Linked DNA regions of Coturnix japonica. The protein of the gene in region 1 purifies or fractionates together with the protein of each later gene. This does not show direct contact. Links are inferred from orthologs where the notes say so. Each region holds a gene or a part of one and is shown in the gene's direction. Other genes may lie near its edges.

Region 1 (4,035 bases):
GCTGAAACCCCTTGCATCCCTGTGCAACCTTTTGCATCCCATTGCATCCCATTGCAACCCATTGCATCCCTTTGCGTCACACCGCGATCCCCTGCAACCTCTGGCGTCTTTTTGCGTCCCTTTGCATCTCATTGCATCCTTAGATCCCTTTGCATCCCCATTGCAACCCTCCGTATCACTTCGCATCCCTTTGCATCTCATTGCATCCCTTTAAACCCCTTTGCATCCCCATTGCAACCCTCCGTATCACTTCGCATCCCTTTGCATCTCATTGCATCCCTTTAAACCCCTTTGCATCCCTTTGCATCCTCCCGTATCTCTTCGCATCCCTTTAACCCCCCCTCAGCCCTGCAGCCCCACACAGACGGGCACTAGGACCCAGCGCGGCGCCGCCGGGCTCCGTTCATTCACGGGCACGCCGCTCCGCGCGGAGGGGGCGGGGCCAACGCGGCCAACGAGCCAATAGGAAGCGGCGAGAGCGCGCGTCACGCGGCGGCCGACCAATGAGAGCGCTCCGGGCCTGAACTTTTGCCACGGCGGACAAGTTGATACATCGCGGGGGCGTGTCCCGCCGCGGCGTCTCCCGCGGGGGGAGCGGCATTAACCCTTTCGCCGCCGCGGCGCCGCCGTGACCTACTTTCCTCTGGCGGCCGCCGCGGGTAAAGCGTCGTCGGGGAACGCGGCGCCTTTAAGAGCCCGGCAACCCGAGCCGCTGTTTGCGCAACAATCGGTGCCGCGCGGAGCCGCCAAAGTGTCTAGACTGGCACATGATGGGCGGCAGCCAATCGCGCCGCCGCTCGCGAGGGGCCCTGCGTGCGCGCCGCGGACACACAAAAGCTGCGCGAGGGCGGGCGGCGCAGCGCGGCACGGCGGGCCCGGGGCGGGCGCGCGGCGCAGCGCAGAGAGACACAGAGAGAACAGGGAGAGCAGCGGAGTGAGCGGGACACGGCGGAGCGGAGCGGGGCTGAGCGGCGTCTCAACGGGCTTCTCCTCATTCGCCTTGTGATCCTCCTTTCCTCGGCTTCGTTTTGCTGCTCCTGTTGGGTTTTGTGTATTTTTTTTTATTTTATTTTTTAATTCGCCTTTTTCATTTTTTTTCCTTTTTATTTTCTTATTTTTTATTATTATTATTTTTGAGGATTTTTTCCCCCGCTTCTCCTCTTCCATTATTCCATTTTTCCGCCCTCATCGCCGCCTCCTTTTTAATTTTCTCCCCCGTCGTTTTCCCCCCCCCCCCCCCCTCCCGCTTTTCTTTTTCCTTCCCCCGTTTTATGCCCGGGCGCTGCCCCCCGGCCGGCCCCCCCGTCCCCATGGCTCCCTGAGCCCCCCCCTATGCCCCCCGCCTATGCCCTCCCCGCTGGGCGCTCCCCATCCCCTCCGCCGCCGCCTTCCCCCATGGTGCGGCCCCGCCGCGGGCCGGGCGCTGCGGGCGGCTCCGGGGGCGGCGGCTCCGGGGGCGGAGGCGGCGGACGGGCGATGAGGAGATAGAGGCGCGGAGCGGAGCGAGCCCCGGGCCGCCCTCGTATCGTATGTTCAGGTCCAAACGCTCAGGGCTGGTGCGGCGGCTTTGGAGGAGCCGCGTTATCCCGGAGAGGGACGGAGGAGATGGGAACGGCCAAAGCTCGGAGCGGAACGCGACGGCGGTGACGGCCGAGGGACAGCGCATGGCACAGCCCAGCCGGGCGCAGGAGGGCGAGGGCCGCCCGGTGCGCTGCTGCCTGTTCGCGGAGCGGCCCGGCCCGGAGCCGCCTCCTCCTCCTCCACCCCCTCCTCCTCCCGGCGGCGCCTCTCCCCTCGGGCCGGGCGGAGGCGAAGCGCGGTCGCGGTTGGTGCTGCTGGAGCGGGAGCTGAAGGCCGTCACCTACGCGCTGCTGAAGCGGCTCAAGGAGCGCTCCCTGCACAGCCTGCTGCAGGCGGTGGAGTCTCGCGGCGGCACCCCGGGCGGCTGCGTGCTGGTGGCCCGCGGGGAGCTGAGACTGGGGGGCGGCCAGGCGGCCCCCCCGCACCTGCTGCTGGGGAAGCTGTTCCGCTGGCCAGACCTGCAGCACCCCGCCGAGCTCAAGGCCCTGTGCGAGTGTCAGAGCTTCGGGGCGGCCGACGGCCCCACCGTGTGCTGCAATCCGTACCACTTCAGCCGGCTCTGTGGGCCAGGTGAGCGTTGGGGCGGGGGGGGGGGATGGATTCCTGTTCGTTTGGGGGTCGGGAGCGTCGCCACGTGCTTCGTTTAGGGCTGTAGGAAATGGGTTCTCCCTCCCCCCACACCCTGTTTGGGGCCGTGGGGATTGGGTTCCTCAGCCTCTCATCGGGGCTGGGGGAGATGTGGGACCCAGCATTATGGGGCCAGGAGGGTGAGGTTACCGTGTTTGGGCTTTGGGTTCGTGGGGAAGGGGATGTTCCGTTTGGGGCTGGGGGAGATAGAGGGACCTTGTTTTTCTCAGCCCCAAACTGGAGGGACCCCAGATCTGGGGACCTGCGGGAAAGGTCCCCGAGTTTGGGACGGGGTGGGTAAGGAGGGAGGATATTGCCCTGTTTGGGGTTTGGTTTGGGTAACTGGGGGAGATGAGGCTCCCCTGTTTGGGAATGTGGGGAGGAACATGGGGAGAGTTTGGGCCTGGAGGAGATGAGGTTCCCCGCTTTGGGGGCATGGAGAGCGGACCCCTCCGTGTTTGGGGCTGGGGCGGTCAGGGACGGACTCCCCACGTTTGATGTCGGAGATGCGGTCCCTGCAGTTCTGAGGGCTGAGGGGATCCCCAAACTCGGGGTGAAGGAAGCGGAATCCTGGAATCCCCGCTGCTCGGGACGATGCTCGGGGCTCGGCTGCGGTCAGGGAATGCCTTAACGCGAGCTGCGTTCCCAGCGCTACTTTTTCTTCCAGGAGGAAAAAAAAAAGAAAAAATCCTTTGTTTAGTTCTCTTTAATTTTACGTATATTTTTTCCCCTTATTTTTCCCTTCCCTTTTTCTTCCTCTCCCCCTCCCCCCCGGGTTCCCCCGCCATGCGGGGCCGCCCCCCGCCGCCTGCCCGCCGCCGGCGCCAGCCTGGCTCCCGCCTGGCTCCGCTTATCGCGCCCGGGCGGTCCCCGCCGCGCCTTAAAGCCGCAGCGCCCCGGGGCCGTGGGGCCGCAGCTCGGCCTTGCGTGGGGCTCCGCTTTTATGAACTTGTTTTTTTTCTCCCCGATCTGAACGCCCCGAACGACCTTCCTCCGCGTCCCTTCATTTTTTTTCTTTTAATTATTATTTAAAATTCCTTTTCCAACGCGCTGTCCCCTCCTGTCTTTGCATCGTTTGCTTGAAAGAAACTTCTGTGCTCCTGGAGCAGGAGTGTGTCGCTTTGATTTCGGCAGCCACCGAACTTTCCGAGCTGTTTTCCTGCAGCGGTTGTTGTGCGGTGTCCCATGCACAGCTTCTGCTGCATCCACTTTTTGGGGGGGCTGTTGAGCCCTTCAAAGCACCTTGCAGCCCGCAGGGCTCTCAGTGCACGGCCCCGGAGGAGTGCGGTGTTTTTGGGAAGCAGTAGGTGGCTGCAGAGCAGCGCGGGGGGATGCTGAGGTCGTTGTTAGGGCTGTAACTCGGAGCAGTGTGTGTGTGGGGGGGTGTTCTGAGCTGCAGCAGAGCCGCTGTGTGCACAGTGCTGGGGGTTGCACAGTGCTGGGGGTTGCACGGAGCTCAGGTGGTGCATCTCAGCAAGTTGCAGTTGTGGAAATAAAAACACTGGAGGACCTTGACCCGGTGTACAGCCCCGAGTTATGGCTGGCAGCAGCGGCCCTGCAATGCGTGGCAGCACCGCGCTGCTGAGCTGTGCAGTGGGGTGGGACACGGTGGGGGCACCTCGGGGCTCGGAGGGCTTTGCTGGTGGCCCATCCGCAGTGCTAACACACAGCTCTGTTTTCCCAGAGTCTCCGCCACCTCCCTACTCCCGGCTGTCTCCTAACGACGAGCAAAAGCCACTGGGTAAGTGCTGCGCTCCTTCCTGCCCCGCGTGGTCGGGCTGTCGGGGCTGCTCCTTGTTCCTGGGCAGGCGTCAGCTGAGGAGCTTT
Region 2 (3,500 bases), on another chromosome or scaffold:
ACACATAAAGGGGAGGGATGCCAATTGAAGGAAGGCTCTCACTTGTTCCTTTCTTTTTATTTTCTGAGAAACAGAGTTCTTGGGGAGCATAGTGTAGGGTGGGAAATGGCAGTGAGATACCTGCATCATATTTGAATGGCTGAAACATAAATACTGATTTTTAGATCTTGTCCTTTTAATTGATTGTATTATGGTAGAGCTTTTTTTTATTGTTGGCAGTAATGTACTTTCTAAATGTCTGTAATGTGTGTAGTACATCATTATTTATGATTATTGTCATGTTATCAGTGCCAGTCTTGTGCTGACCAATTATAAGTCACATTTTAATTGAGTGAGCTAAGAATTATTTTCAGATAAACAAACAACAAGCGAAACAACAGACTCCCGGGAGCTATGAATTTCCCTAAAGGGGACTCCCAGATGGGCATTTCCTGCCTTGTGATAAATCACTATTCTAGATGTACTTTTGATAAAGTTACTCTAAAAGTGATAGAGATCAATTGTTTTTAGCTTATCCGTGTATTCAGTGCAATGGAAGATTTAATGATATTTCTCAGGAGAAAAAAATAAAACCATTAAGGTCATTACTGAAAGATTCATGATCAGAAGTTCAAGCAGCTTGAAAATGATATCAGCATTTATTGAATGAAAAAGTATTTGTTTTGTTATCGAGGCTTTAGAGTTAAAATTGCAGCTGTATCAATTCCTTCTCTCTCTCCTTTTCACCTTCCCAGTAGTTCTGTTTAAAAAGTGCAATAGCTGTGAAGGATGGTGTTCTCTCTCACTGGGACTGTCATAAGCGGGGAATACTTGAGTCTTTTGATGCTCCAAGCCTGAGGCAAGGCTATCGCCATGTTTAATTATAGCACTGGTGTGTTCTGTGTTTTAGCGCATTAGAATGAAGCAAAGACTCCTCATATTTGCTGATAGCTGTTCACCAGCTTTCATATTGTAATAGTCAATAGTGCATACAACATGAAATCACTGTCTTTTTTTCCCCCCACCCTCAATTTTACTGAAATGGAGAAAGATGAGCTTTTCTCAAGGTATCATTTGAAATAGAATGATGTGTTTTAAACAGTCTTGTAGGTTTTTTGTTTTCTCCAGCTTTGTCCATTATTTTTTTACTAAGTAATTTGAATCTCTGTCCCTAGTTTGTAAAAGAGACAGACAACGAGGTTCGCATGCGACTTCTGCAGTTTGTCACTGGCACTTGTCGATTACCTCTGGGTGGATTTGCTGAACTTATGGGTAAGTGAAGAATGACCCAAACTTTTAGACTGTAACTGTTCCATTTGCAAAAGAACCAGGCTGTAAGTGGATGTCAGGAACTTCTGGTACATCAGCTTGGTTCTCACAGGTCTTTTTAGATCAGAAATCAAGTGGAATAACTTTATAAATGATTAGGAAATTAGCTTATTTCTATTAGCAGAATATTCTTGTAACAATCTTGAATAACAAGTAGCATCTGATGATTTCTGAGTGCTTTATCTGAATTGTTTTGTATCCAATAGATGTCTTGTGTGTTACTTCAGAGGAACAGATTCCAGTTATTTTACTCTTATTTTCTAGGAAGTAATGGTCCTCAGAAATTCTGCATTGAAAAAGTTGGTAAGGAAACTTGGTTACCAAGAAGTCACACTTGGTAAGTTGTTACTTGTAAACTTTCTCTACCTTTAGTGGTTCCTCTATTCTGGTCTTGCATTTACCAAATCAAAGGAAATGTAATTGGAATCATTATATCTGTCTTCAGTTCTGATTGCTCTGACACCCCAATACTGAGAACTCTTCTGGTTCCCTTAATCTTAAATTTTGCTGCTGCAACCTTGTGACGTTAATATTCATTATGCTTTTAAAACTGCTATCAGGAAGATAACTTCAGGAAGACTCAGAATGAAACAGAATTGTGGCAGAGGGTTTTTGGGACCAAGCTTAAGGAAAAGTTAAAACTTATTTCCAGGCACATGTAGAAGGGATAAGGCTTTAGCCATTTCACCCTTCTGCTGGAATTTGGAGATGTATCAAATTAAATGTTTCCTCTTATGAGTATTACAGTTCTCCGCATCTCTGTAAAGAGCTTAATTGAGACCTCAAAGGTCCTGTTTCTTTATCTGATGTGATACCAGCCTTTTGTTTTTAAATGCATTGATCTAAAACTTTGTTTTTACTGTTCATAGAAATGTTAAGGTAGTGAAATGTCATTGACTGACACTTCTTCATTTCTAATTGCTACACTGGAACACTTCTAGCTCCTACTATAGCAGTCAATAGTGTTCTGCATGGCATTCAGATGAACTTAACATAGTTTTTCTTGTTTTTTCCCCCCCTTTCTCAGTTTTAATCGTTTGGATTTGCCACCCTATAAAAGCTACGAACAACTGAAAGAGAAGCTGCTCTTTGCCATTGAAGAGACAGAGGGATTTGGTCAAGAGTAGAAGCAGCTTCTAGTCCAAAAGGAGACTTTGCATATTAAAAGGCTCAGCCAACTAAAGTTGCACACTTAATTGTATATAAGCTTTTTGTTCTGTACAGTGATCTTTCTGGAACTCTAAAAAGTATAATTGTTCTCCGTTCTTCCACAGAGATATGCAAAACAGTTCAGCCTTTTCTACTTTTATTTATTGCCCTTCCAAAAGACCAGAAAAATCCCTCATAAATGTTGAAAGCAGACAAGAGTCTTATTTAAAATATATATTAAAAATATAAATATATATACTAATAAGCTCTAGTTTTATAGAGCTTTAAGTGTATGAAAAGTTGCAGCCATTTAAAAGGGCCTGGATTTGCTTTATCTTGGCTTTATTATTTAGAAAAAAATGTTTAAACTGCTCTGTGTTCTCTCTTAAGAAACATCTCCAAGTTTGTTTTATTGCATGGCTGTTCTAAAAGGTGTTAAAGGCTTAGGCCAAACGTATCCTAAATATGTAGAAAGATGCTGCTGGTATTTGAGATGACAGAATATGATGTTCTGTCAGTTTAATTTTTTAAAATACATTAATAGCTGATATATCTCTCTTTACTACACTGATGTAGCCAAGGTCATTAATAAAGCCTTTATTACTTGCACAAGAGTAATGTACAATAAGATGAATGTGATTTAATGTTGAAAGGAATTGGTGCCACTGTTCTGACTTGTTGTAGGAGCTGAACAGAATACTTTGATTCATTTGAGCAGCATTGAAATTTGTTTACATATTACCTTGGGTTATTACCACGAGGATGTTAGATAATCTTCAAAGGAAAAATAATAATAAAAGAGACACTATTACACATTTTCTCCTTGGTCTGTTGTCTTACAGGGTTTTTCTTTTTCATTTCCTTTTGTCAATCTGTGGTGTGTTTTTCACAGCTTCATCGAGTTATTAATGTAAACTGAGATATAAGGGTAGATGAGAGGTAATATGAACTTTGCTGCTTTCTACGCTCACGTTCCATTTCTGTTATCGGATCTAGAAAACCCAAATAAAATTTAATTGACACAAGCTTTGCACAGTTAAAAA

What was found.
Region 2: the proteins of SMAD6 (region 1) and WWP1 purify together in Homo sapiens (affinity purification with western blotting; 3 studies listed by BioGRID, with this or other methods). This does not show direct contact. The link is inferred for Coturnix japonica from reciprocal best matches to the Homo sapiens genes SMAD6 and WWP1.

Annotation. Positions count from the first base shown.
Region 1 is NC_029525.1:16,930,489-16,934,523, forward strand, and holds the start of SMAD6 (mothers against decapentaplegic homolog 6), read left to right. Parts: upstream 1-1,235; 5' UTR 1,236-1,529; coding exon 1,530-2,151; intron 2,152-3,892; coding exon 3,893-3,949; intron 3,950-4,035. UniProt on the Homo sapiens protein: Transforming growth factor-beta superfamily receptors signaling occurs through the Smad family of intracellular mediators. SMAD6 is an inhibitory Smad (i-Smad) that negatively regulates signaling downstream of type I transforming growth factor-beta.
Region 2 is NC_029517.1:111,491,460-111,494,959, forward strand, and holds part of WWP1 (NEDD4-like E3 ubiquitin-protein ligase WWP1), read left to right. Parts: intron 1-1,154; coding exon 1,155-1,251; intron 1,252-1,572; coding exon 1,573-1,645; intron 1,646-2,335; coding exon 2,336-2,435; 3' UTR 2,436-3,500. UniProt on the Homo sapiens protein: E3 ubiquitin-protein ligase which accepts ubiquitin from an E2 ubiquitin-conjugating enzyme in the form of a thioester and then directly transfers the ubiquitin to targeted substrates.